Linked DNA regions of Mus musculus: regions 2 and 3 are each reported to be linked to region 1. The links are microRNA targets in miRTarBase. Many come from high-throughput screens and were not tested one by one. Region 1 holds a microRNA gene; each other region holds the end of a gene's coding sequence.
What was found. The annotated mature microRNA mmu-miR-669i reads UGCAUAUACACACAUGCAUAC and lies in region 1 at 5,378-5,398, opposite strand. An mRNA with a match to its seed (bases 2 to 7 or 8) in the 3' UTR can be bound and repressed. Matches are read on the target gene's strand: a 7mer-m8 pairs with bases 2 to 8, a 7mer-A1 pairs with bases 2 to 7 and ends in A, and an 8mer does both.

Region 2: miRTarBase lists Tnfrsf10b as a target of mmu-miR-669i. Seed matches in the 3' UTR shown: 7mer-m8 at 6,273-6,279 and 7mer-A1 at 6,156-6,162.
Region 3: miRTarBase lists Ccdc82 as a target of mmu-miR-669i. Seed matches in the 3' UTR shown: 7mer-m8 at 1,738-1,744 and 8mer at 4,157-4,164.

The regions. Positions count from the first base shown.
Region 1 is chr2:10,512,003-10,523,068 of GRCm38, reverse strand. It overlaps Mir669i (microRNA 669i), which reads right to left and starts at 5,465; the gene lies at 5,339-5,465. All of the region lies in intron 10 of Sfmbt2 (Scm-like with four mbt domains 2), which reads right to left. Mir297a-4 (microRNA 297a-4) reads right to left here and starts at 6,002; the gene lies at 5,905-6,002. It overlaps Mir669h (microRNA 669h), which reads right to left and starts at 4,914; the gene lies at 4,790-4,914. It also overlaps Mir466d, Mir669m-1, Mir669m-2, Mir466n, Mir669o and Mir466g, and 3 more genes.
Region 2 is chr14:69,779,077-69,790,142 of GRCm38, reverse strand. Tnfrsf10b (tumor necrosis factor receptor superfamily, member 10b) reads right to left here. Exons shown (of 8, transcript NM_020275.4): 7 at 9,570-9,639; 8 at 5,732-7,911. The coding sequence ends at 7,577. It overlaps Rhobtb2 (Rho-related BTB domain containing 2), which reads left to right. Exons shown (of 10, transcript NM_153514.5): 8 at 1,423-1,511; 9 at 2,180-2,285; 10 at 2,408-5,153. The coding sequence ends at 2,628. Among named protein-coding and RNA genes, the nearest start is that of Tnfrsf10b, 17 kb to the right of the region's middle.
Region 3 is chr9:13,287,807-13,296,385 of GRCm38, forward strand. Ccdc82 (coiled-coil domain containing 82) reads left to right here. Exons shown (of 9, transcript NM_025534.3): 9 at 1,541-4,547. The coding sequence ends at 1,603. Among named protein-coding and RNA genes, the nearest start is that of Maml2, 5.9 kb to the right of the region's middle.

The DNA.
Region 1 (11,066 bases):
TTTGCCGGGATGAATATACATTATAAATGTCCATCCTTTAGCACACTTGTTTCTCAAGTCCCTCCCAGAACCTTCTATCCACCTCCCAAACAAAGCCTTACACAAGAAGAGACCTGGCTCCCAGTTCTCTGTTCAGCACCCTCAGCAGGAAGGTACCAAAGCCAGCCACTCACAGGCCTGCTTCCTTCACTTCCAGGGGCTTTGCCACACCAGCCTCTGCTCCTCGCACTGCCCTCAGTTCTGTGTTAAAATTCACAACCCCCCCCCCCCACTGTTTACTTTCCCCCGGTGGGGCTTCACCTTTTCTATGAACATACAAAGTCCTTTGAGCTCAAAACAAGTGGAAGCTGAGGCAGCTAAGGTCAGCCTTGGCTTCTGTCTAGCATCTATTTTCTAATACCCATAGAATTGTGTGAACTGTATTTGGGTGTTCTGTGTGGCTGATGTATGTTCAGATAAAATGCTCTTATTTGGAAGTCACCCTTGATTGTAGCGCATAGATGTTTAGCCAGGTTTTCCAAAACTAACTTCTAATGGGCTGTAAATTGTCATCTTGGACCTGGATATAATCCGTCTATACATCCAGAGGGCAACAGTGTCCACGGGGAAGCTATTTTTAATCTAATAATTCCTAGATAGAATCAAGTCTTGCTGGGCTTCACCTGAGCAGCAATTAATTATCTGGACCCTAAAACTACCCACTTACTTGAAACTTGGAATGGCTTAGACATGTCCTCCCCCTTCTCCTTGGGACTGTTATTCACTCTGTCATTTAAAATTCTTTTCCTTTGAGCTGGTAATGAGCTCTTTTTGGAAGGCAGTTTTAAGGCAGCTCAGAAAATAACTACTACATAAAAAACAAATTGCCGCAGAATGTATAATAGAGACAACAGGGGTCAATTACACTCATTCGTCAACAGAGGCAGAACAAGAAGAACGGAGGCTTAAGCACAGCCAGGAAAACAGGTTTTAAACCAAGGGGGAGGAAAGAAAACAGCAAAGAGGAGAAAAAAAATAAAGAGGAAATAAACCCCCTCCAGCCATTACAGTTTCTAAGAAGCCACCTACCCAGACTACGTGAATGACAGCCATTAAAGGCATTTAAGTCTTCATGACTCTTTACTTTGAATGCCGACTTTCCAAAGGGTATGCAAGTAAGAGGGAAGAGGTTGGTGACCCATTTTTCTTGTGATACAAATGAACAGACAACAAACAGCCATTAAGTCTGGCTGAGCAAATGGACAGTGCCTTTGAAAAACTTAACAGTATAAAGAGCTATGCCCTTTGACATGGTTTCAGTCCTAGGAATTTATCTCAGAAAAGTGACCCCACTAACTGAGAAAATGAGTTATATGTTGGGAAATGTACAGCAACTTTACGAAACTTGGAGAAGGCAAAAGTAACTCTCCATGAACAGAAAATGATACAAGATTGACTCAAGACCCCCTCTAAGCCCCTAAGATATCATATAGGCATGATATTGCATGGTTGGGGCAGGGAAATTATGAAAAAAAATGCTATGTCCTTCAGCTAAAAGGACTAATTGCAGACATATGAAATTACTAGAATTACGCAAAAGATGTAAAGAAGAGAAAAATATAAAAAAGAAATTGTTTTGAACTTGTGACAAATATCTTCAACTTTTTTGTACTTTTTCAAGTTTTCACTAGTAACTGGAAAAGGACTTCAGTGACAAAAAGTTATCTTTGTGCTAGTATAATGCAAAGTCAGACTATGTGTCAGCAAAAGTTCTTTACAAGGTGTGACTCTTGCATGAGTGATGTTCCCCCACCACACACACACACACACACACACACACACACACACACCCACACACACACACCACATCACACAAATAAACCACAAACACACATTCATACACACACATCACACACACCATACAACAAACCACACACACACACACACACACACACACAGCACACACACACACATATGCATACACACATCACACACACGCACGCTTCACACACCATCACCCTTCAGCTTCACCAGTCCAGATTCTATCCAGAATGAGTGAGGCCACATTCTGATATAGAAGTGAGTCAGGCGAAAGGATGAACCATCTAGTGATTGCCATATCCGGGGATCCGTCCCACAATCAGCTTCCAAACACTGACACCATTGCATACACTAGCAAGATTTTGCTGAAAGGATCCTGATAGAGCTGTCTAGCAAACACAGAAGTGAATGCTCACAGTCAGCTATAAGATGGATCACAGGGCCCCCAATGGAGGAGCTAGAGAAAGTACCCAAGGAGCTAAAGGGATCTGCAACCCTATAGGTGGAACAACAATATGAACTAACCAGCACCCCAGAGCTCTTGACTCTAGCTGCATATGTATCTAAAGATGGCCTAGTCGGTCATCACTGGAAAGAGAGGTCCATTGGACTTGCAAACTTTATATGCTCCACTACAGGGGAACGCCAGGGCCAAAAAGTGGGAGTGGGTGGGAGGGTATGGGGGACTTTTGGGATAGCATTGGAAATGTAAATGAGGGAAATACCTAATAAGAAACATATATATATATATATATATATATATATATATATATATATATATATATATACATATATATAAAGTGAGTCAGGACAGCCTCAAGGCTACCTCAGAGGCCCTGTGCCCCTTGTCTATGCCTTAGAATAGGGTTACCAGCAAAGTTTAAGGTAGGATTTCACTCTCTTATAAAGCAGACAGCATAACAATAAAATCCCCTCTTCCATGTAGCCTAGCTATACAAGCTGTGCCATCATAATAAGAAAGTAGCAAAAGGATATCATGCTTGCTATGTTCCAGCTAGACAACGGGAAAGACACTCAGATCCTGAAGTCTGTTGGGAATGAGACATTTAATAAACTACAGTTAAAGCCACCTTGTTAGACTGTCAGTCCTCAAGGATGTGCCTGACCTCTATCCTAGACACTCGTTCCTTCACCCATGAAAAGAGTAAGCCGGCCCTCTGCATGCTGGGTGTGGGGCAGTTCTAATACAAGCATTAGAGAGGTGAAGCAAACTGACATAAGTCTTCCCTTTATGGCGCTCAGATTTCCCGACAGAAAACAGAGGAGACAAATGTAAAAAAGTCAAAAAGTCAGCTGGCTGGAAAGATGACTCAGTCAGTAAAGGGCTTTGCTTGACAAGCATAAAAACCTGAGTTTCATCTCCAGAATCTATGTTTTTTAAACAGTGAAAGAGGGAAAGAAGGAAAGGGAAGGACAAAAAACAGAGGGGAAGGGATGGGAGGAGAGGGGAAGGAAACACAGGGGAGGGGAGGGGACAAGAGGGAAAGGGAGAACAGGGGAAGGAAGGGACAAGAGAAGAGAGAGGAGGGGAAGGGAAAGGAGGGAGAGGAGAGGAAATGAGGGGAAGGGAAGGAAGAGAAAAAGAAAACAAAGACATCACCATCACAGAACCTAGGAAAGAGACACAGCTCTTCAGGAGAGAGAAGAAGTGGGTCCCACTAGAAAAGAAACACTGAGTCCAAACCCTCAGCTGTGAGTTCAGACATCAGCAACAAGGATGGCAAGAATGGCGGAGCAGGAATGAGCCTTGAGAACAGATTTCTAATAGTACGGCCATAATGGACGAGAAAACACTTGCAAAGTGGGCTCTGCTTTGGTGTCCTAACACGGGACCAGGCGCTGGTATTTTAGACCCAAAAATCAACGGAAAACCAACGAAAGCAGTGAGAAGAAGTGCAATATTCGCCTATGTCTCAGGGTGCTCCAAGGTCATTTAAAACAGTAGGCATTCATGCATTCCCATGAGTTCTTCTTATTTACGATCAGGGAATACTGCAGAAAAACAACAGAACCTTAGGCAAGGGCAGAGGAACCAGAGAGTCCATTTGACCTGAACACTAGCCACAACGCTGCTTCTTACAGAAAAAGAATTAGGCTGGGACACATTTCGTACAACAATTAAAGCACTTCTCTGTGTAAAAGCAAGCACAGCATTCTAGTTTGAATTATGTTAGGAGACAAAGATATCACCAAAAATAGACTCTAATATCATATAAATATCAAGTGTTGACAGGGAAAAACAACACTTTAAAAAAATTCTTAAAGAATTATTAAATAAGCAAAAGGATTCTTAGTTTTTAACGACCAGAAATGTTTTCAATATTAAGAGCAACCCAGCTTTACCTCTTAACCCCATTCAATTAAAAGTGACCTTTTTCATAGAGAATGAAAGAGAAGACAGCTATTAATGAGGGAGGTATTCCAGTCTCCCGAGCCAGATGAACGATAAATTTTAAATTAAGATATATTGCAATCTGAAAACTCAAAGAAAATCATCAGGTGTACGAAAAACCAAAAGAATCACACCATAGCCTGCCTGTGTGCTGAGTTCCAGAGATCCAACTCAGGCTGTCAGGTTTCCACAGAAGCCATTTTCACCTGGAGGGAGAACTAGCCCTGGATCCGTTCTGCATAAGCTCTAAAGCTCTGAGTCACATCTCATTCAAATAGATCGATCAGAGCCACTAATGTGCGTGTAGGTGAATGCCAGTGTGTGTGTTTATGTATATGTATGTGAACATTCATATACATACATTTACATGCACACATAAGTATGAACCCATGCACATACATGGGGGAGGGCATCACATGAATCGCATGCTGATCTCTAACTCATCATGAAGTGAAACATGAATTTGAACTCCAGGACCTCCTGACGCTGGCAAGAGTATTCACCTCCTAACTGAGACATAGCTCTGGCCCAGTACTGCATAAGCTCTAAAGCTCTGAGTCACATACCATTCAAAAGGATAAACGAGTGTCATTCCTGTGTGTGAGTGTGTGTGTGTGTGCATGTGTGTATATGCATATTCATATAGAGAAATGAATATGCACTCAACTATACACCCATGCATATTTTTGGTGGGCATCACATGAATGCCAGGATGATCACAAACTTATCAGGAAGTTAAGCATGAATTTAAATTCCTGATCCTTCTAACTCTGGCAAGTGGTTTTCACCTGGTGAGTTAGATGTAACACTGACCCATAATTATACACTCTATAAAACTCTAAGCACATATAAATCAAACAGATCTATGACTGCCATTCTTATGTGTATATGTATGTGTGTGTGTATGTTCATATACATGCATGTACAAGCACACTTACCTACACATATATACACATACACAAGGACAATCAAATGAATTCCAGGCTGATCTCTAACTCATCATGAAGTTAAACATGAATTTGAACTCCGTATCCTCCTGACTCTGGAAAGAGTATCCACCTCCTAACTGAGGCATAGCTCTGGCCCAGTACTGCATAAGCTCTAAAGCTCTGAGTCACATATCATTCAAAAGGATATATGACTGTCATTCCTGTATGTGAGTTTGTATGCATGTGTGTATATGCATAGTCATATAGAGAAATGAATATGCACACAACTATACACACATGCACATTATTGGTGGGCATCACATGAATGCCAGGATGATCTCTAACTCATCAGGAAGTTAAACATAAATTAGACCTCCTGATCCTCCTGACTCTGGCAAGAATACTCACCTCCTAACTGAGACATAGCTCTGGTCCGTTACTGGATAAACTCTAAAGCTCTAAGTCACATACCATTCAAAAGGATATATGAGTGCCATTCCTGTGTGTGCTTGCGTGTATATGCATATTCATATAGAGAAATGAATATGCACACAACTATACACCCATGCACATTTTTGGTGGGCATCACACGAATCGCATCTGATCTCTAACTCATTATGAAGTTAAGCATGAATTCGAATTCCTGATCCTCCTGACTCTGGAAGGATTATTCACCCGGTGAGTGAGATCACGCACTGGCCCAGTCATACAGAACCTCTAAGACTAAGTCACATATCATTCAAATGGATCCATGAGTGGCGATTTTGCGTGTATTTGTGTGCATGCTTGTATGGGTATGTGTGTATGTATATGTATACTCATATACACACATGCACATGCACACATACATATACACACAGGCACATACACTGGGGGGGGGGGGCGCCATCACATGAATCTGAAGCTGATCCCTACCTAATCATGAATTTGAGAATGAATTTCCACTCCTGATCCTCCTGACTCTGGCAAGCATTTTCACCTTGTGAGTGAGAGCACCCACTGATCCAGCCCTGCATAATCTCTCAAACTCTAAGTCACATACCTTTAAGGCCTGACTCTGGCAAGCACTTTGACCTGTTGAGTAAGAGCATGCACGGGCACAGTACTGCATAATCTTTAAAACTCTTAGTCACATATTATGCAAGTAGATGAATGCAAGTCACCATGTGTTTGTGTGTGTGTTGCATGTGTGTGTGTGTCTGCACATGCATATCCATATACATTCATGAACATGCACACACATGTAAGCACACGTGCACATACATGGGTGGCATCAAATGAATACCAGGATGATCTCTAAATGGAGTTTGAACTCCTGATCCTCCTGACTTTGTCAATCATTTACACCTGGTGATTGAGACCATTCACTGTCCCTCTACTGCATAATCTCTAAAACTCTAAGTCATATATCATTCAAATGGATCGATGAGTACCATTCCTATGTTTGTGTGTTTCTGTGCTTGCATTTATACATGTGTGGATGTTATATATATTCATATACACACATGCACACACAACTATACACACGTTCACATGCATGGGGGGAATCACATAAATCACAGGCTGATCTCTAAGTCCTCATGAGTGTAAGCATGCATTTAAGCTCCTGATAGACCTGACTCTGGCAGTTGTCTACACCTGATGAGTGAGAACACTCACTGTCCCCGTACTGCATAATCTCTCACCTCTAAGTCACATGTTATTCAAATGGATCTAAGAGTGCCATTAATGTGTGCGTGTGCATGCATGAATATGTGTGCATGTATTTATATGTATATCAATATATATATACATGTACATGTACACACAAACACACATGCACATACATAGGGGTCATCACATGAATGCCAGGTTGATCTCTACCTCATCATGCAGTGAACATGAATTTGCACTCCTGATCATCCTGGCTCTGGCAAGGGGCGTCACCTGGTGAGTGAGACCTCTCTGTGGCCCAGTCATACAGAATCTCTAAGACTCACATATCATTGAAATGGATCGATGAGTGTCAATTTTCTGTGTGTTTGTGTGCATGTTTGTATGGGTATGTGTGTATGTATATGTATATTCATATACACACATGCACATGCACACATACATATACACACAGGCACATACACTGGGGGCATCACTAGAATCCGAAGCTGATCCTGGACTCATGAATTTGAGAATGAATTTCCACTCCTGATCCTCCTGACTCTGGCAAGCATTTTCACCTTGTGAGTGAGAGCACCCACTGATCCAGCCCTGCATAATCTCTAAAACTTTAAGTCACATGTCATTTAAAAGTATCAATGAGTGCCATTCGGGGTATGTGTGTGTGTGTGTGTGTGTGTGTGTGTATGTGTGTGTGTGTGTGTGTGTGTGTGTGTGTGTGCCTGTGTGTATGTGTTTGTGTGTATTTATATGTATATTCATATGCACACATACATTAGCACACAAAACTATGCAACATGAACATACACTGGGAAGGAACCCATAAAGCCAGGCTGATCTCTAAGCCATTTTGAAGTTATTCATAAATTTGAACTCCTAATCCTTCTGAATATGGGAAGCTTTTTCACATTGTGAGTAAAAAGTTTCATTAGCCCAATACTACATAATCTTTAAAGCTCTATGTCACACATCATTCAAATGTATCAATGAATGCCATTCCATGTTTGTGTGCTTGCATTTACATGTATGTTTATGGTATGTATATTTATATACACACATGTGCATACACAGGGACGTAAACACACATGCACATACACGGGTGGCATCACATGAATACCAGGATGATGTCCAGCTGAAGTTAAGCATGAATTTGAACTCCCGACCCTGCTCAATCTGTAATATGTTTGCACATGGCGAGTGAGACCGTTCACTGTCCCACTACTGCATAATCTCTAAAAGAATAAGTCACATAGCATTCAAATTAATGGATGAATTCAATTCCTCTGTGTGTGAGAGTGTATGTGCTTGCATTTGTGTGTGTGTGTGCGTGCGTATGATATATATATTCACATACACACAAGCACATGCACACACAAATATACACACATGGACATACATGGCTGAGAATCACATGAATCACAGGCTGATCTTAAAATCATCATGAAGTTAAGCATGAATTTGAACTCCTAAAACTCCTGATTCCAGCATACATTTTGACCTGGAGAGTGAGATCACGCACTGTCCCAGAACTGCATAATCTCTAAAACTCTAAGTGACATATCATTCAAATGGATCGATGAGTGTCATTTGTGTGTGTGTGTGTGTGCCGCATGTGTGTGCATGTGTCTGTATATGCAAAATCATATACATACATCCACATGCACACACACGAAAACACACATCGACATAAATGGGTGGCATCACATGAATGATCTATAACTGAAGTTAAGCATGAATTTGAAATCCTGATTAACCTGACTCTGTCAATCATTTACACCTGGTGAGTGAAACCATTCACTGTCCCCTATTGCATAATCTCTAAAACTCTTAAGTCAGTTATCATTCAAATGGATTGATGAGTGTCATTCTTGTGTCTGTGTGTGTGTGCTTGTGTTTATACGTGTGTGTGTATGTTATGTATATTCAAATACACACATAAACATGCACACACAACTATACACACATGCACATGCATGGAGGAATCACAGGCTGATCTCTCATGAGGATAAGTATGAATTTGAACTCGGGATACTCTTAACTCTAGCAAGGATTTTCACCTAGAGAATGAGAGCACTCACTGGCCAAGTACTGCATAATCTCTAATATGCTAAGTGACATATCATTCAAATGGATCAATGAGTGGCATTCGTGTGTGTGTGTGTGCTGCATGTGTCTGTACATGTATACTCATATATATACATTCACATGCACACACCTGTAAACACACATGCACATACACGGGTGGCATCACATGAATACCAGGATGATGTCCAGCTGAAGTTAAGCATGAATTTGAACTCCTGATCTTCTTGAATCTGCAAATTGTTTACACATGATGAGTGCGACCATTCATTACCCACTACTACATAATCTATAAGACTGTAAATCACATATCCTCTGTGTGTGTGTGTGTGTGTGTGCACGCACGCGCATGCAAGCGCACATGCACGTGTGTCTATGTATGCTCTCATGTATATGCATATTCATATACACACATGTACATGTACGCACACACAAACACACATGCACATACACAGGAGCCATCACATGAATGCCAGGCTGATCTCCAACTCATCATGCAACCAACATGAATTTACACTCTTGATCATCCTGAATCTGGCAAGGGTCTTTACCTTGTGAGTGAGAGCATTCATTGGCCCAGCACGGCATACTCTCTAAAACTCACATGTCACATGTCACATGTCACTCAAAATGATCTATGGGTGCCATTTCTGTGTGTGTGTATATCTGTGCATGCTTGTATATGTTTGTGTGGATGTATATGTATATTCATATACACACATGCACATGCACACAAAACTATACACACATGCAAATATATTGTGGGGAACCCCATAAAATCAGGCTGATCTCTACTCTCTTTTGAATTTATTTATGAATATGAATTCCTGACCCCTCTGAATATGGCAAGCTTTTACATAGTGAGAAAAACTTTCATTTGACCAGTACTACATAACCTTTAAAGCTCAAAATCACATATCATTCAAACATATCAATGAATTCCATTCCTTGTGTGTATGTGTGCATACGTGTGTCCATATACATGTATGTTTATGTTATATATATATATATATATATATATATATATATATATATATGTATATATATATATATATATATATATTCATTTACACAGATGTACACGCACACACATGTAAACACACATGCACATACATGGGTGGCATCACAGGAATACCAGGATAATCTCTAACTGAAGTTAATCATGAATTTGAAATCCTGATTCTCCAGACTTTGTCAATCATTTACAGCTGGTGACTGAGACCATTCACTGTCCCACTACTGCAGTCTCTAAAACTCTAAGTCACCTATCATTCAAATGGATCGATGAGTGCCATTCCTGTGTGTGTATCTGTGCTTGCTTGTATATGTTTGTGTGGATGTATATGTCTATTCATATACACACATGCACATGCACACAAAACTATACACACATGCACATACATTGGGGAGGATCCCATGAAGCCAGGCTGATCTGTACACCATTTTGAAGTTACTCATGAATTTGAACTCCTGATCCATCTGAATATGAAAAACATTTTACTGGTAAGTAAGAAGTTTCATTGGCCAAGTACTACATAATTGCTAAAGCTCTAAGTCACATATCTTTCAAACATATAAATGAATGCAATTTTTTCTCTGTGTGTGTGTGTGTGTGCTTGCATATACACATGTGTTTATGTTATGTATATTCATGTCAACACATGCACATGCACATACAAGTAAACACACATGCACATACATGGGTGGCATCACATGAATACCAGGATGATCTCTAACTGAATTAAGCATGAATTTGAAATCTTTATCCTCCTGACTTTGTCAATCTTTTACACCTGGTGGGTGAGACCATTCAATGTCCCCTATTGCATAATCTCTAAAACTCTACATGACTTATCATTCAAAGGGATTGGCGAATGCCATTCCTGTATCTGTGTATGTGTGCTTGCGTTTATACGTGTGTGTGTATGTTATGTATATTCAAATATAGACATGAACATGCACACACAACTATACACACATGCACATACATGGAGGAATCACATAAATCACAGGCTGATCTCTAAATTCTCATGAGGATAAGTATGAATTTGAACTCCTGATACTCTTAACTCTAGTAAGCATTTTCACTCTAAGTCACTTATCATTCAAATGGATTGATGAGTGCCATCCCTGTGTGTGTGTGTGCGTGCGTATCTATGTGTGCGTGTATGTATATGTATATTCATATA
Region 2 (11,066 bases), not on the chromosome of region 1:
TCCTTCTGCAAAGTGAGAAAGGCCCGTCACTTACTGTTTGGTTACCCGCTAATAGCGCTTCTGTAGTTAAAACGGGAATACTTGGTCCTTTCCTTTGAGTTTCTGAGATATAGCTCTTCCCTCCCACCCTTGAGGGTGGCCAATTTTTATTTGTGTATTTTAAAAGTGTTATCATGAACATAATTGTTTTTCTTTCAATGTATTCTCTCTCTCTTTTTTTTCTTTTTTTTTCTTTTTTCTTTTTTCAAGGCAGGGCTTCTCTGTGTAGCCTTCGCTGTCCTGGAACTCACTCTGTAGACCAGTCTGGCCTCCAGCTCAGAAATCTCCTGCCTCTGCCTCCCAAATGCTGAAATTAAAGGCGTGCACCATCATCACCTGGCTCAATGTATTATTATTTTGTTTGGTTGTTGTTTCTAAGACAGAGTCTTATAAAGCCCAGGCTGGCCTCGAACTTGCTTTGTAACTTAAGCTGGCTTTGAACTCCTGATTCTTTTGCTGAATCCTCCAGAGTGCTACGATTGTAAGGCATGCACTACCACAACCAACATTTGTTCTTTTTGAAGTTCAAACACTATACCTTTAGACAAGAGCCGTCTGTTCTTTGCATTGCTCAGGAGTGCTTGGTGTCCTTGCTTTCTAGAAGGAAAATGTCCTAGCGCCACCGTGTTTCAGATCTGGAGTCAGCTGTTTCTCCAAATACTCTGGTTTCTTAGTGGTGATGAACCCAGAGCCCTATACATGCTGCTGGAAGTCCTGGTTTCTTACAGTGGAAACGACAATGGGAATGCTCACTAGTCTTGTGATACTCTCCTTTCCTGGTCTTTCCTGACGGAGGAGCTGGAAAAACACACCCATCTTTCTAAGGATGAAATACCTCATGGGTTCATTCTGATACTTCTATTTAAATTCGGGGCCAAAGGAATTTATTCTTCATATAAATGTTTGAATGTAAACTGGAAGATTTATACACCATCTGCTAATACATTTTAAATTAATTTGAATAAGTAGGTTTAACCCACAGTTCTCTGTCAGAGTTCTCAGGCTGTCTTCATTTTCAACAAACATGAGGTTTCAGACTGTCTTCCGTCAGTGGCTAATTGTACTGAGGGCTGTGATCCTCTGTGTAGCAGGTTGTACAGTGGGACGTGTGTAGTTTGAAAAAAGAAAAAAACCCTTAGCTAGCTCAACAGCCCTTTTCCATTTCCCATTCCTGCCCCACCGAGGCCTTACCCTCATCCCTTTTTCCCCTCTAATAGGAACAAACCTAAAGTCTCCTTTGGTCTTTCTGGCTTTCTGTTGGGACTTAGCCCTGGCCTGATCAGTTTGAACTCCTTCTATAGCAATCCCCACTGTGGTACATAAGCACTGTAGGTCCTTTGTCATGTTCCATCAGCTGATTGTTGCTGTATGTGTGTGTCACAGAGCAGTACACAGTGACTGGACTGATGGAGGCGACCCAGATGATGGTGGACATCGATGGGGATGTCCTTGTATTCTTGGAATTGGCACAGGTACTGTGGCAAGGGAAGGAAGTGACAAGTCTTGACTCCAGACCCTGCTCGTAGACAGAGTGTAGGGCTCTGGGAGGTGATGGGTCGGCAGAGTGTACAGCCCTGGTCGACATCTGCAAAGAGAGCTAGCCATGACAGACAGAGGGACCGAGACCGTAGGTCATTAGAGGGAACACCAGGATAGGGCTTGAATCATATAGGGGGTACTGAGATTAACTGCCTCTGTAGTGCCTCTGAAGTTAACTGCCTGCTTCCTTATTACCAAGCAAAGGAGTCCTGGTGGCAGGAATTGGGCCTTTGAGGGTGGCTGGTGCCAGGTTTTCTAAGCTCGGTTGCCCCCTTCTTGGTGCAGACTGTTTTGTTTGCGGATGGGAGGAGAAGGGGATCCTGGTTGGGTAAGAGCTGAGAAGAGCGGGTACCAGAGGAGGGCATGTGGGACACGAACATTAGTGGTACACATGCTTGAGGCAATTGTGGGGTTGATAATAGGACCCAGGAGCTCACATCAATCATTGTCTTGCCCAGTTCTGGCAACGGACAGGATGCTTGTGAGGGTTGGGCCCCTTATGATTGCAGAGTATCTACGGGCACTGCCCAGAGCTGCTGCTCCGTAGGCCTCTATGTGGAGTCTCTGCTCCAGTAGGGATGTGTTTCTGTACCACTCACAGTTCCACTGCGCGTACCAGTTGGCCGACTGGTGTCTTCACCATATCTGCACCAACTACAACAACGTGTGCCGCAAGTTCCCCAGAGACATGAAGGCTATGTCTCCAGGTGAGTCTCTGTGTCAACCCCACAAGTTTCTGTGACAGGGCTAACCCAAAGCATGGGCAGGGTAGGCTTAGCGCTGCCCTGAAAATACCTCCTAACTTCGCACCCCTGGCATTGTTGTCTAGAAAACCAGGAGTACTTTGAGAAACACCGGTGGCCGCCAGTCTGGTACCTGAAAGAAGAGGACCACTATCAGCGTGCGCGGAAGGAGCGAGAGAAAGAGGACTATTTACACCTGCGGAGGCAGCCCAAGCGGCGGTGGCTGTTTTGGAACAGTCCCTCATCACCGTCCTCCTCAGCAGCGGGCTCAGCATCCCCCTCCTCCTCCTCCTCGGCTGTGGTCTGAGATGCTGCCACCGTCTTCTGATCCCGCTGCTGTTGTCCTCATTAGCCCTTGTCCTTCTGCTCTTCTGTATCATCCCCTCTACCCGACAGGTGACGAGGGAATTCACCTAACCAGAATCCTAAGGGCAGAGCCGTTCTCACCAGCCAATGTGGCCCAGGCTAAGAGGAGCCAGCCCTGCAGATCAGAACAGGGTCCACCTACAATTCCAGGCAGGGCAGGAAAACATCTGCCCCAAGGTGGGGAGCAGGAGAGAGCTCAGAGCTCGGATATTTTCTCTCTGGACTTGACAATAGAGCCAGTGGAGGAAAGCTTCCCCTGTACTCGGGCTTGTCTGTATTGGTGTCTGCTTTGGTCAGAGGCAGCTTCCTCTCCAGGAGCTGGTCTTTTTTTTTTTCCCATCCACAGACTTTTGAGGGTTGCAAGTATTTCGTGAGCATTGTCCCTCGGGCTTATTGAAATCCTTGAGAAGTTAAGGTAGAAAAGAAGTCTTCAGAGCCCACATCAAGTCTCCTAGGCCGTGAGGTGTGGCTGCTGGCGGGGAGAAGAATAAACTGCAGCCTGCCAGCATCCTGTAAGGACTGACTGCAGGCAGTGTAGACTTAGTGGTGGGTAGCAGCGGTGACTCCGTGTTCAGGTTTGTAGGCAGCACTTTAGTACAATGTGGGTTCTCTACTTCACCCTTCCCGCACACATTACATCTGACATGGATGAAGGAGGAGGAAGAGGAGGAGGAAGGGTGGGTTCTGTGCTCAGCAGTTTTATGCTCCTCTGGGGTTTCTCCCCCTGCCTCTGGGCAGCACTGCCTTTTATGAGATGGGAGCAAAAACAGCCTAACAGGAGAAACCCAAACTCAAAAGCACCACCAAGACCATGTTATCCTTCATCTCCCCAAAAGAATGAAGTTCTAAAAAGAGAGACCCTGTAGGGTGTACATCTTCATAAGGCTGAATGGAGGCCTCTATTATTATGTGGCTATGAAGGGTCAGTAGTACCAACCACTCCAATGCCTTTCAGGGGAGGACCTGTACCCTCCGTTTCTGAGGATGCCACTCCCCAAGGCCTGCTGGGTCTAGGCTACTGGGTTTCGGGGAAAGTGTGGGCTTCGGGGCTCAAATGGCTTTGTACCTTTTCCACCTTGATGCAGGATACTTTTCTCTTCCAAAGGTGACTCTACGGGATGTGCGTGGGGCAATGTGCTTCCTGGGGCGGGGGGAGGCTTTCAGCAGGAATTAAATGTCAAAAAAGGGAGCACTGGAGAACAGGCTACACATAGCCAACCTGGTACTGGCTGGGGATAAGGGGAAGGAGAAAACAGGGGTAGCTGAGCAGGAAGGAAATGATGCGAGTCTAAAGAGGAATTGGGGAGACTGGAGGATTGACAACAGTGGCTGGAAGCCCCCGTGGGATTGACACTGGGTCTCAGTTGACCCTTCCCATTTCCTAATTACGATCCACATATCACCACCTTTACCCTCTCTCTAGACTTACGAGGTGAAGTCCCATGAGGGAGTAGGTCATGAAAGTTCTGGGGTCCCCTTCCCTGAGAAAATGCTTTAGGTAAGGAAATACTGGCTGAGTCCCCAGGACCTAGCTAGGTTGCTTAAGCTGGAATTAAAGCAACCCCAGAAACAAATGCAACCTACAATTGTGTGGTACCGGGACCTCGAGTTCTGATCTGGTCTTGTCAGAAGGAACAAGTAGTAGCAGGTCTCACAGTGCTGATTTTCTGTAGTCTGAGCCTGGAACCGCCAAGCCTGCTGCTGCCTAGTAGTTAAAAGCCCTCCAGAGTTGCTGGCTGGGGAAGTGTGTTGTGTGCTGCCCTCTACTAGCTGGTGTGCCCTGCTGCTGAATTCTAAATGGCTTCTAGTGTGGAGAAGCCTGCACTCATGGAAAAGGCAGGCAGCTTCTCACACCTTCCTTGGACGATACAGGGGTATCTCTCTCGGGAACTGTAAATGATAGGTAGATGTCTGTCCTAATGAGCAAGGGGAATTGGGTCTCCCAAGTGATTTACAGGGCTGAGCCGCCTGGCATCACTGGTAATGAGGATGGACAGGCTAGTAGGAGAAAGATCTGTGGAGGTGGAGGAAGACCAAGGAGAACACCATGCCCCACCCAGGCCAGTTCACCCCTCAGGGACCCACCCCTACCCCCACAGCTGTCAGAGCTGGTGTGCAGCAGGTGGACCCCTGTGGCCTTGTATACCCACAGTGGGGGGTGGGGCTGTGAGTGAGCCAGGAGAGGGAGGTGCTGCTTGCAGTCCCTTAGTACATGGGTGCTCTGGATTCCAGGGAGACAAAAGCAGGAGAAACTCCAGTGTGGGACAAGTCTGGCATAACACCCCCAGGGGTGGGGCAGTGTCCCAAGAACATGCTCCTCTGGACTATGTCACATGTCACTCAGTGTTGTCTTAGAGGATGGGGGTAAAAACACAAACCCACAACCCCTCTCCACACACCTTTTTATATAAGGTTTCATATTTAATTTGGTCATGAATTCATAATACATGAGTATTTTGTATCTAATGACAAGTCTTGTACTGTTTTATATTACCAACACACTTCTAAGAGGCATAAGGAAGGGCATCAAGTGAGAGGGTGAAACACCTGCTCTTGGGGCTGGGTACAGAGCCCAGCAAACCCTGATGTGCAATCCTGATGTCAGCCTGGACTTGCACTCAAGATACCATAACCAACACTGGCAAGGATAATGCTCAGAAGTGGGAGTCTTCCTCCTGAAGCCCCATGAACGCCACAGCAACTTGGACTACAGAATGACTGGGACCAGCCATCTCTAGGCAACTGTCCTGCTGTGTGCCGAGCATCTACTGGAGAAGCCATAATGAGGCCTTATGCTCGATCGTTCAGCAGTTTGGAGCACCTGCGCTTGCTCTTGTACCTGGCCTCAGCTTCAAGCACCCACATGCTGGATCACAACCATCTGCCACTCCAGTACAAGGGGACCAGATGCCCGTCTGACCTGCAGACCTCCAAAGGCACCAGGCATGCATATCATGCACATAACCATGTAGGCAAAACATTCATACACAGCAAAAATTAAAAAATGAAAATAACGAAATAGATGAGGGCCACGTACACTGCTCTCTTTTTTAAAAAGATTTATTTATTTTGTGTATGTAATTACACTGCCACTGGCTTCAAACACACTAGAAAAGGACATCAGATCCCATTAGAGAAGGTTGTGAGCCACTATGTAGCTGCTGGGAATTGGAACTCAGGACCTCTGGAAGAGCAGCCACTGCTCTTAACCGCTGAGCTACCTCTCCAGCATGCTAGTTTAAAACAAAACAAAACAAAACTGGACCCTGATATAGCTGTCTCGTATGAGGCTATGCCAGTGCCTGGCAAATACAGAAGTGGATGCTCACAGTCATCTATTGGATAGAACACAGGGCCCCTAGTGGAGGAGCTAGAGAAAGTACCCAAGGAGCTGAAGGGGTCGGCAACCCTATAGGTGGAACAACAATATGAACTAACCAGTACCCCCCCAGAGCTCGTGTCTCTAGCTGCATATGTATCAGAAGATGGCCTAGTCGGCCATCAGTGGAAAGAGACGCCCCTTGGTCTTGCAAACGTTATATGCCCCAGTACAGGGGAACACCAGGGCCAAGAAGTGGGAGTGAGGCATATAAAGTCAGGTGGGGAGTGGGTGGGGGAGCATGTGGGGGACTTTTGGGATAGCATTGGAAATTTAAATGAAATAAATACCTAATTAAAAAAAAAAAAAAAAGGCCGGGCATGGTGGCACACACCTTTAATCCCAGCACTTGGGAGGCAGAGGCAGGTGAATTTCTGAGTTCGAGGCCAGCCTGGTCTACAGAGTGAGTTCCAGGACAGCCAGGGCTACACAGAGAAACCCTGTCTCAAAAAAAAAAAAAAAAGTGGGAGTGAGTGAGTGGGTAGGGGAGCAGGGCGGGGGGCAGGGGGGGGGAGGGCATAGGGGACTTTTGGGATAGCATTTGAAATGTGAATGAAGAAAATAAATAATAAAAAATTAAAAACAAACAAAAAACAATAGGAATTCACACAGGACAAAAATCTGTATGTGGCAGCTTTCTAGAAATCCCTATCACAGTATCTAAAGGTAGTTATTTCTCCTTCTGGATCCGGTGCAGCATACCTATGATTCCAGCTCTAGAAAGGCTGAGGCAGGACAATGGTGAGTTTCAGTGTTTACTCTCACAATGGTCAAATGCTTACAGGGGGCGTGGTCCTCAAGGGTCACCCCAGGTAGCACTTAATGCTCCCTCTGTGTCCAAACCAGCAAACTCACTTCAAGTGTGTTAGATTCAAGTTAGATGTACCCTCAGTAGGCTGCCCACTAGCACCTGGCACAGGGAGGTGCCGTGCAGCTGTGTAGTGCTGAGCAGTAGTCTAACAGTAAACAGCAGTGGCTGTGTTCACAAGGAGTTTCCACCCTAGGGCTGTTTTATTCTTCCCTCTGTTACAGAGGTGGTCTTTTGTCTCTGGACAAGGGTCTTAGTAATGAATATCGCTAGAATCTGGGACAGGAGACCACAGAGTCAGCTCTCAGCAAGTTTAGCCATCCTGCACATTATATGGGATCTTATGTGAACCAGCTGGCCTCGAACTCTTGATCTTCCTGGCTCCATCACCGGAGTGTTAGGATGATAGGCAGGCCCTATCATACCCTACCAATTGTGCCTTGTTCAGGAACAAAGGTAATCCGGGATGCTGGAGGTGTGTTAGAACACTTGTAGCATATGTGTTCTCAGAGGTTCTGTGTTCAACTTCTAATAAGAGAACATAGTACTTAACAGTAATAATATAAATAATACAATAATATGATACACTAACTACTACAAGAAAAAATTAAGTACATTCTCATAATACTGAAGAGCCTGCATCTTCGGGGCTCTCTACATAGCCTTGGCTGTCCTGAGTTCACTAAGTAGATCAGGCTGACTTCAAACGCACTGAGATCCTCCTGGCCCTGTCTCTGGTTGGGCTGCAGCGTTCTGATAAGTAAACCTCCCGGATTTCACTGCGTAGTCTTCAATTTTCTCCATGGCATCTCTCTCTTCCACGGCTTCCAAGGCATCCAGCAGATGGTTGATGGAGGCACTTCGCCCAGTCTGGTGGCGCCACTTGAGCAGCATTTGGTACAGGGCCTCACGTGTGACCAGTGTTTCGGCTTTGACCATTTGGATTTGATTGTCTGTGAGGCCCAACTGCCGCATGAGACGGTTCCAGGAGTCAAAGGGCACTATGTCCGAACAATACTCGAAGATAAACTTCAGGTCTGGGTGTCAGAAAACATGGGGGACAGGTAAGCTACAAGCCACTTCATACAGGGTCAAGAATCCTAAGTCAGATGGAGAAGCCCAGGGGAGGACCTGACACACTCCCTTGCACTCTGTGAACCTGGCTGTTGAAGCCTCCACACCCGAAGCCAACCAAGAATCTGGGTGCTGGAGAAATGGCTCAGTTGAATACAGGGGACTCGGGTTCAATTGCCAGCACCCATGGTTCACAACCATCTGTAACTGTAGTACCAGGAAATCTGACACTATCGTCTGGCCTTCGCAAGGTACCAGGCATGCACGTGGTGCACAGACATATGTGCAGGCAAAACACCCATATATACAAAGTAACATTTTAATGAAAGTTTTTAAATATATACCTTTAAAAAACTCCTGTAAGGGCTGGTGAGATGGCTCAGTGGGTAAGAACACCCGACTGCTCTTCCAACGGTCCAGAGTTCAAATCCCAGCAACCACATGGTGGCTCACAACCATCCGTAACGAGATCTGACTCCCTCTTCTGGAGTGTCTGAAGACAGCTACAATGTACTTACATATAATAGATAAATAAATCTTTTAAAAAAAAAAAAAAAACTCCTGTAATGCAAGACGGCCCAGTGGGAGATGTTGCTTTGTGTGTCTGTGTGTGTTTGTGTGTCTGTGTGTGTGTAAGGGCATGTGGCATGAACCACAGAGGGGCGTAGGAGGTGAGTGTACAGTATCTCAAGGCTGTACTCATGAGGTATAGGGCAAGGCTATCCTCATCTGCAGAAACAGCAGAGCAGAGAGCGAAGGACCTTCCATACCAGCTGGCCTCCCTCACGGCTGCCTCACTGCCACTGGATGCAGGAAAACAAACGACTGAAAACCTGAACCTGTATCTAAGTCATGAAAGCTCATGTATGGGGTTATGGTGACATAGATGAGACAGGTACGAAATGTGTCACCTTCCATCCGGAGGAACCGAAAGAGCCGGGATACAAGTCCCATGAGCCCCGGGAGTCACATGGCTTATTTAGCCAGTAAAAGGAAGGCTCAAATAGTGCCCAGCATACTCAGAATCCTGGGTTCTGTCCCAAGCAGTACAGTGCTGAGTATGGGGGTGGGAGAGAGAGCCCGGTGGTTAAAAGCACACGCTGCTCTTGCAGAAGACCTAAGTTCTGTTCCCAGAACCTGTGCAAAACTAACTTACGAACAAACTAAGTATGAAAGAAAACAAGTGCCATTTGGTTCAACTCAGTACTCATGCAGTCGGTATCTGAACCGTTATTCATGAGATGGCTTCCATTCATTTTGCATGGAGTCTCTGAAATCGGAGTTGTGGCTTATAGTGCACAGCTCATGGAACTAGGTCTGGCCAGGGCAGGAGCTTCTAGTCAAAGGCCAGTGGGTATTAACACAGGCCAATGCACCATTCTGGAGGCCCTGGCGAAGGTGGGGACTACAGAGTAGAAAGGAAGGAAATGGAAGAGTGAAAGGACAGAAAGATTCTATCAATAACAATATGAGGTTCTGGGGAGTGCCCTAGGGATAACACTGTAGGCTTTGCACCCATCTTTAGTTGTCTTGGCAGAGCCTATCTGCCACGGGGATGAAAATTGGAATGCCTCTCCCATCCCTTGGGCTTCTGTGCTATTGTCTTAGACAAAGCACTCACCGTCAGCTGAGTCGTTTCCGTTTACCGGAACCAGCAACTTCTTTCCTGTTTTCTGAGTCTTGCCAGGTTCCTGTACGCAAAGAGCAGAGTCGCGCTCGTCAGAGTCAGGAGACCTGGGCCCAGGCCTGATTCTGATTAGAAGACTTAGTTTACAGCACTGTCCCTCTAAGGCCTCAGTGGAGACACAGATTAAGTTCCCTCCACAGTTGCTTGATGGCTCGTGAATGCTGGTGGCATAAATCTTCAAACTCAAGTGTTCTGCGACAATCGTACACTTGCATAAGCCTCCATCAAGACCGAATGTTCCCTGTACTCCAGGGGTTCCCTTCAGCACCACCCCCTCCCAACCCCCAAGGCTTCTTACAAGACTCAGTTGAAGACTACAGAGAACAGTTTTTGCAAAATCCAAGGTCAAGATTTGCTTCAGGGCTTTCATGGTGTTTTGATCGGTTACAGCAACTCACACATCAACAGTCTAAATACGAGACCAAATAGACCAAAACACCAATAGTGTCAGGGCTGGGAAGGTTTCTGGTACAACTGAATATGAAATTTGACAGTTTGAAAGGTTTTAAATTTATGTATATGTGTGTCGTGTGCATATGAGAGGGAGCTGTGGAGACCAGGCAAGATTGCCAGGGCCCCTGGAGCTGGAGTTACCGGCAGTAGTGAGAGCTACCCAGCCCAAGGCTGAGAATTGAACCTGGGTTCTCTGGAAGAGCAGCAAATATTTTTGCTCTCTGAGCCTTCTCTCCAGCCCCTAAATTTGACTTCTAAAAAATAACTTGGAGCCAAAGGATATTAATCCCAAAGATGAGAGGAGAAAGACCACTGACCTAAATCATCATGGTCAAATTAAATTAAAGCAAGTTGTTTTTTTTTTAATTAGATACAAGGATTGTCGCCCCCCCCCCATCCCTCCCTGCCCCCGCCCATGAGGTTCAAAAGGTCAGCATTACATGTGAGGACGACAAAGATTTATAGAACTTAGGTGTAGGGGCTTTCCACATGGGGGATTTGGCCAGCAAAATAGGTGGGGTTACCAGAGCCTAACATTAAACATAGCAAGTTAGTCCTAAACAATTCCTGAATCAAAGACATGGTTGCAAGGGGGCTTGCTATTTAAATGGAACAAAAGGACCACACAGTGACCAGGAGAGATATCACATTGTTCTCCATCTAAAATCCATCCATGATGCAGAAATATGCAAAAATGAATTCAGTGGGGAAAAATACCTCCCCAAGCAGTCAGAGGTGCATCTTACATCAGGGGAGGCTTTCAGGAGCCTATGAGTGACGGAAAGTCAATGCATCTGCTGATTTTAACCGTTACAAACAAACTTTACCGGGGGCTGGAGGGATGGCTCAGAGGTTAAGAGCACCGGCTGCTCTTCCAGAGGTCCTGAGTTCAATTCCCAGCAACCACATGGTGTGTGCACCAAACAGCACTTCTGTAACCTTAACCCAGAAATTGTAGTTCATGGAATCCCCCTTACA
Region 3 (8,579 bases), not on the chromosome of region 1:
AAGTCAGTTTGCTCCTCTATAAAATAGGGACTAAACAATACTTAGAGCCTTGATCCTGTGAATCGTGGCATATTTTAGGGCCTGGAATTAGAAAGTGATCAACTCCCATTAGCTAGTATCTGTAATATAAGCAAGCAAAGATTGTTATTTGCTTCTCTCAGTATACTGGTGTACATTTTAATTTTCCAAAACACATTTTATAAACAATCTAGATTAACACATTTAAAGCTAAAATAATAAGCCTAAAACAGCCCATCTTTTAAGGTATAGGTTGCAGATCATAGAGAATTTATTTGCATATACTAAAACCAAGAGAACTCTGAGTGGGCTATGCTAACAGGCATTTTCTGCCTTGTTCTCTTCTTCCTTCTTTCTTGCGGATGTGCTGCAGTCACAGCTCTTGAGGTTATGGAAATGGCCTTCATGGCCTTGCCTAGGATGGAAATACAGTATTCATTCATATTGCCTCCATGAATCCTTGTCATCGCAGAATTCAGGCCATTGAGATCTTCTCTCGGAGTTCATAAACCAGATCAGGAAAGCATTAAATAATTTAATGTCCTCAACTGATATAAATACTTGGACTCTGTGTCTAAATGTGAACTCATGTATCATCGCTGCTCCCTGATCTGCCTCTGAGAGCCCTGCCTGCCATTATTCTTGTACTCCTTCACCTTGAAATTTCCAGGGCACCTTTAATGCATCTCTTAACATACTCCACTTCCATTGCTGCCACACAGGTTTGAGTCCTCATTGCCTAATTTGTCACCACAGATTCAGAGCTCACTGCCAGACAGCTATAGAATAGCCAACCAATTTTCTGAACATGTACTTCAAATAAGATCAGTCCCCTGCTCTCAAATTTTTGACAACATCATAGTGTCTGTCAAATCTTTGCTCAGTTCATAACCTAGTGTATCATAGTTTTTATTCTTCCATCTCAATTTCTTTGGTCCAGTCCTCTCTTTCTCTCAGAAGACATCAGGTTACTACCAAATCCTACGCTCCCTTGGCATGGCTCTGTTGGACGAACTTCTAACTTCCTGGACTGTGTGTGTGTGTGGGGGGGGGCTCACTTTGCCACTGATGTTGCCTATCAAATATTTTTGTCTAAAACACCTGAAATATCACTTTTTCCAGGTCACCTCAGCTGGCCATGGTTTCTCTTTTGACCCTTATAGCAGTGCTGCTGGTTGCTGTGAGTGTCTCAGGGACAGGGAATTGTCTTAAACATTCTGCCTTCACCAGTCAATAGTAGGAAACTAGTTACATAAATACACATCTGTTCCACAAATATCTGTTGGATTAACTATTGAATTATACGTATGCTGTAATCTCCAATTATAACTTCTAAGGGGAATGAAATTAATAATGCTACTATTTGATTTCTTTCCAACGCTTTGTGAGTTACAAATGCTTCTATTTATAATTAAGTGATTTTTATTCCCAATTACCATAGGATATGTGTTTCAGTAGTTATAAAGGTCTATCTTATTTGCTGTTGTGACTAAAATAACTATTTTTTCTGTTGTATATGCAGAAATATGATCAACTGCAGAACTTTCTCAATTCTGCGGATTATTTTCAAGATGAGAAGTTTTAATTATAGCATGCTTCCTTCATGAAGAGAAGATTTTATAAATTTCTGTAAATGCGAAGACCATGAGTTTTATTTTTCTGTGTTATGTATCATTGGTTTTATATTCTATGTATGTCTTTGTGGGAAAATATCTTATTTATATGCTCATCTAATTTTCATAAAATGCCAAAGTGAAGCCTAATAACAGTTTCATAGATTTACATGGAGAACATTAGCTTTGTGGTTCAGAAGTCCCTCAGTGTATTATAGTCACGTGGTGATGCTTTTCTCACACGTGACCAGCAGTTGAATGTGCTATCATGTCCTGTCAGTTTAGTAGAAACAGGCTGTGTTACGATATATTTGGGCTGACCTGAGGATGGCTCAGTCAATATAGTACTTGTCTTACGAACATAAAGACCTGAGTTCAGTCCCCTGTACTGGCTAGTTTTGTGTCAACTTGACACAGCTGGAGTTACCACAGAGAAAGGAGCTTCAGTTGAGGAAATGCCTCCATAAGATCCAACTGTAAGGCATTTTCTCAATTAGTGATCAAGTGGGGAAAGCCCCTTGTGGGTGGGACCATCTCTGGGCTGGTAGTCTTGGGTTCTATAAGAGAGCAGGCTGAGCAAGCCAGGTGAGGCAAGCCAGTAAAGAACATCCCTCCATGGCCTTTGTATCAGCTCCTGTTTCCTGACCTGCTTGAGTTCCAGTCCTGACTTCCTTTGGTGATGAACAGCAGTATGGAAGTGTAAGCCGAATAAACCCTTTCCTCCCCAACTGCTTCTTGGTCATGATGTTTGTGCAGGAATAGAAACCCTGACTAAGACAAATTGGTACCAGCAGAGTGGGGTATTCCTGTGACAACCTGACCATGTTTTGGGGAGGACTGTGGAAAGACTTTGGAACTTTGGGCTTGAAGATCCATCCGTTGTTAAGAGCTCTGTCGGATGTTGTGTAAGAACTTGGAAGATAATGTTGAGAACACTGCAAAAGATGGAGGTCTGGTTTGTGAAATTTCAGAGGGGAAAAATTAAAGACTCTTTTCAGGGCCATTGCTGTTTTGATTGTGAAGGTTCTGTAGTTCTGGTTAGCTGGGGCTGAAGAATCAGCTGTGATTAACAAGATACCAGAACTACCAAAGCAAAAACTTTGCATTACTGGGACTATTGATGCTGGTTAGCTGGAGCTAAGAAATTAGCGGTGATTAAGAAGAGACCAGCATCATTGAGGTGACATCTTCTGGGAAGTGTTTTCTGAAAGCACAAAGAGGCTGTGTTCCAGAGATGGCCAAGGTTGTACTCCTGATGCAGCAGGACTTGGTAATATGTAAGGGTCACCCAGGTGGTACTGGTTTTGAAGGCATGAAGGGGTCACGCAAAGCAGCTGAGGCTTGGCACTGTGAGAGGCCATTGGTGAAGGTGCAGCCTCAGTTGCAATTGAAGGCCCAGGACTGAAGGGGTCATGCAGTGTTTTGGAGATGCCAGTACCATGAGATGACCACCAAGAGCATCAGCAGCAGTGGAGTACAGGCATCTGGAGCCTAGAGGATGACGCATGTGCTACAAAAGGGCATGGCGTGGAGAAGTGACCCAAGCCCTTGGAGGAGCCCAGAAGATCGTGAGTTGGATCCCAGACAGTGGACGGTTGGAGATTGACTTTTGCTTTTGATTGTGACTGTGCCCTGATATTTTCCCTCTTGAAGGAAGAAACTGTTTTAGTGGAGCCCACAGTTAAGAGACTTTTAATTGTAAAAAGACTTTGGATTTTAAAAGAGATGGATATTTTTAAGAGATTGAAATTTTAAGAATATGTAAAGACTGTGGGATGTTTAAAGTTATTTAGATCTTGGGGATGAATAAGATTGTAAGGGTTGAGGCTTACTAGTGATGTTTTTGTGTGTCAAGTTGACAAGGGGTCAATTGTACTGGCTAGTTTTGTGTCAACTTGACACAGCTGGAGTTATCACAGAGAAAGGAGCTTCAGTTGAGGAAATGTCTCCATGAGATCCAACTGTAAGGCATTTTCTCAATTAGTGATCAAGGGGGAAAGGCCCCTTGTGGGTGGGACCATTTCTGGGCTGGTAGTCTTGGTTCTATAAGAGAGCAGGCTGAGCAAGCCAGGGGAAGCAAGCCAGTAAAGAACATCCCTCCATGGCCTCTGCATCAGCTCCTGCTTCCTGACCTGCTTGAATTCCAGTCCTGACTTCCTTTGTCAATATGGAAGTGTAAGCCGAATAAACCCTTTCCTCCCCATCTGCTTCTTGGTCATGATGTTTGTGCAGGAATAGAAACCCTGACTAAGACAGTCCCCCAAACCATATTTAAAATAGAGCCAGGCATGATGGAATGTACTTGTAATCCCCACGCTGGGAGGCAAAGATGAGGCAGATCCCTGAGGGTGTTGGCCAGGCACCCAGCCTACTCATCAGTGAGAGACCCTGTCTCAAAAAACAAGAATATGTGGTGCTTGTAAGTGACACCAAGGCTATCCTCTGAGCTCAGCATGCACGCAGACACAAATAGTCATGTGCCCACACATTTGAACAACCACACCTGAACCTTCACATCCACAGTATATATGCATGTGTATATACTTACATAGTGAGACTTATACCTATATGTATGTATGTGTTCTTGTACCCCTTGGCAATATTAAGTAATCTTCAGTAATAAATGTCTAGTTAATGTTTCCTCAATCAGTGAGTCATGGAAGTAGCTTCAGGCCTCCATGCATTCAGTATCCTAGCCTCAGAGTGAGACCATAGCTCATCTATTCCAGGTTGAGAAATGTTTCCTTCTGCTAAAGTTTCCCTGATAAATAGATGAATCGGCTCAGGGTCTTTCAATTCTCATGTTCAGGGAGAACTTCTTAATATATATATTTTAATTGTGTATAATGTTCTTTCTTGTTTCTGTACAATTTTATGTGTAGTATATTAAAGATTATGATATGATTTTCACCATAACTTTCTCTTTCTCTGTGTGTGTGTGTATGTGTATATATGTTCTAGTCTGAAGATCTCACAGGCAAGTTCAGCCAAAGATATTTTGAAGGCTTAGTTTTGTGCCTCCATTACTTTGCACATCCTAACTTTTCCATAGTGCAATAAAGTAAAATGGTTTCAGAGTCTAAGTGTGTATTCTGTATCTTTAATTCTTAAATATGAGGCCTGTTTTTCTGTGACATTTTAGTTTTTTATTATTTTTTTAGAAAGTGGTGGTTGAATTTAGCTGGCTTCATGTATTGTGTGACTCATGACATGTGTCTCCATGCATACATGAATGACATAAGACTGTGTTTTATCAAGTCCTTACATGAAGATAAGTTTGTAGTTTTCTGCGGTACATTTCTATAATTATTCCTATTGGTCTTTCAAGCTAGGGAGACAGAGAGAGAGAGAGAGAGAGAGAGAGAGAGAGAGAGAGAGAGAAGGAAGGAAGACAGCAAGGATGATGGAAGCAGACATTTCTGTCACATGTCTACTGCTGTTCAAAGTTCCTTGGCAGATGGAGCACCACTCCCTAACTCACTTCTAGAAAAGAAAAATGAAGCCAGGTCCAAAAGGTAAAGATGAAAGGGGCCAGTATCTGTGGGAAGCAAAGCAGAATCCAAGAGTACTAATGGGGTATGGGAAGATGTGAGGATCGAGGGTAACTTGTGGGAAGGAAGGCAGAGGAAAAAGGAAGACAAGGACCCCTAAAGCACGTCAGGTGGCCCGCAAGAAAGAATTCTTTCATGAGCAGTTGGTGTGTTAACTGAATTTCCCAACTTGTCTGCTCTCATGTTCAGGTATTGTGTGCCCATCACTCATTCTTTCCATAGGATTGGACCTACTTAGACTCCAGAATGGGCACTGGGCAGTGGTGCATCCCTTGAGTTAGGCCTGCTTGTAGTGCCCATCACAACATTAAAGCAGCAACCCCTGTGCCTAAGAGAACCTGGGTCTGGAGAGTCCTGGTCTCATCCTTCCTAATTATATAATGTTTTAAAAAGTCATCTTTAAAAGTCCAAATGGGGAATTGGATAAAGCTAATATGCATTTCCAGGAATGTCTGAGTATTGATGGGGATGATATATGTGAAGTGCTGGCCTTTAGGTAGTGATTTTTAAAGTAAATAATAAAAAAAAATGATGTGCATGAGCTGAATGATATCAGTGATAATGGCAACCAGAAATTAAATGGCTGGTATGCATATAGGTAAATGTGCATAAAAAGAGACTGGAGAGATGGCTCAGCAATTAAGAGCACTTGCTGGTCCTGCAGAGGACCTAGGTTCAGTTCCCAGCACCCATGTGATAGCTCACAACCATCTGTAATTCCAGTTCTAGGGGACCCAACACTCTCTTCTGGACTAAGCCATCAAACACTGCACGTATGTGCACATATATACAGGAGTGAAGCCCCAAGGGCCAGCAAATGAATGGAAATATGTAACCTCGGGAGGTAGGAGGCAGTGGGGGAGAATCTCAAGACTCAAAGGGAGGGACCTTAGCTGAAATGCCCAACAGTGGGAAACTTGTAGAATCCACCTCCAGTAGAAAGAAAGAGCATCAAGTGAAAGGATCAGGTTGCCATCCCACAGTCAAAAACTTTGACCCAGAATTGTACCTATCTAAAGAACTGCAAGGACAAAACTGGAGAAGAGCCTGAGGGAAAGGAGGTCCAGTGACAGGCCCAAATTGGAATCTATCTCAAGGAGATGCTCCAACTCCTGACTCTATTACTGATGCTATGATGTAGTTACAGATAGGAGCCTAGCATGGCTGCCCTCTGAGAGGCCCAACAAGCAGCTGACTTGAGACAGAGCAGATACTTAAACCCAACCACTGGTCTGAAGTCGGGAATCCCCTGTGGTTGAATTAAGGAAAGGCTGGAAGAAGTTGAAGAGGAGGGTGACCCCATAGGAAGACCAGCAGTCTCAACAAACCTGGACCCCCGAGATCTCTCAGACACTGAGCCACCAACCAGGCAGCATACACTAGCTGGTCTGAGGCCCCAGACACATACCTACATGTACAGAGGAGGACTGCCTGGTCTGGACTCAATGGGAGAAGATGCACCTAACCCTAGAGAGACTTGAGGCCCCAGGGAATGGGGAGGCCTAGTAGGGTGTGGGAACATCCTCTTGGAGATGGGGGAGGAGGAATGGGATGAGGAACAGTCAAAGAGCAGAATGAGAGGGGGATAACTACTAGACTAAAAATAGATTAAAGGTAATAATATATACATATGTATATATTTTAATTCATACAAAAGACACTCAAGATTCTAGAGTCCAGGAAACTGTCTTATATACTGGAATGTAGTAGGGAAGCCTGTCTGTTGAAATCTTGCTTCACAAGCTTTTATTTATGCTCCTGTCAAAATTACAAAGTGGTAGAGGTTGAAGAGATAACCCAGCAGTTAAAAGCACTTGCAATGTGAGCTTATTACCTGAATCTAACCCCTGAAGCCCAGGTAAAAGTAGAAGGCTAGAACCTAACTCCACAGTGCTGTCCTCAGGTCACATACACAACTGCACTCAGATATCTTAAAAGAAAACACACACACACACACACACACACACTAGAGTTTATTCCACAGTGTATACATTAATTGAAACAATAGGCCATACCCTAAAACCCTGAACAATTTTATGTCAATTAAATTTTATTTCAATTTAGCAAATTTATTATTCTAGTTTATAATTTATATTCCTAGGAGTAAGAGTAGTTTGTTTGACCAAGTCCTCAACACTGTTAAGACCTGTATTGTCGCAGGCTATTGAGTGAGCACTGTTTTACATTTAAATACTGCAGAGTTGTCTTTTACTGGTTATGGTTGCTAAATATGACAGAAGTAGAAGTTAGTAGAAGTTGCTGCCTACTGAACACTGCTTTCAAAAATGAAATATACGATAGTCAAAAAGCCTTCACTTTTGAATAATTCCTGATGACTCTGTTTCTATTTTTCTTCTCTAACAAATATGGCTCCTTTCTCCACGTGAATGGAGAGGAACTTGGCCTTGAAGAACACAGAGAGAAGGATGTTTCAGAAAAAAAAGGCTAATGTTGTACAGACTGGAGTAGTTGATTCAAAAACAATCCGAGATATTGCAGAATGGAATTATTTAAACAGAGCTAACATGATAGATTAGGGGAAATTTGGGATTAAAGATATTCAACTGGTTAAATCTAAGTCAATAACCCCAAATCCAAAACCCCTGAAATCTGAAATACTTTGAATTCCAAGCATTTTGGATGAGACAAACCCTGTCCTGTCTGAGTGTGCCTGTCTCCATTTCCAACTTAACATCCTGGGGCTTGTGAAAGTGGGCTAAAGTTGGCCAGCCCCCGGGAGATGGAACTGTGGATGAATCCAGGCTTGAGATACATTATTTTTATTTGCTTCTACCCATAGTTCACGTTTGAAGCAGGATCATACTGCTGAAATTCTAGAGTCGCTTAAGTAAATGAAGCTTTGTGTCTGGAAACGTCAGATCCAAATGACTTATAAACTACAGCACTTGAGTTTTTGGTGGTTCTGGCTTCTAATACTATGCCCATCTTAATTTATTCCCTGTAATCGATAAGTACACACTGATTTGTCCAATCTACTTGAGTATTTTACAAGCCACACTATATGAAGATAAGAAATCAAAACCTTTTTTTTTTTGTTGTTATGAATGTTCTTGAAATCATGTGGCATATTATATTTGCCAAGCAGACAGCTACTGACAATACACCTTGTATTTGGTGAATTTTCAAAGGAAAACGATTTTTTTCCTTTCTCAAGATAAGGACAATATCAGCCTCATAAAACGTTTATTTATCCGTGATGATTTATTTGCTCATCAGCTCAAGCCTGTTGCCCAAACTCACTGACTTCCACCAATGGGTCCCCGTAGGAGACAGTGGTGGGCTTCCCTCTCTGCACCTCACAGCACTCACTCACCAACTTCCTCACTGTGCTAATGAGCTTTTCCTCCGTGCTCACCCAGCTCTTGTTGGGGGTGCT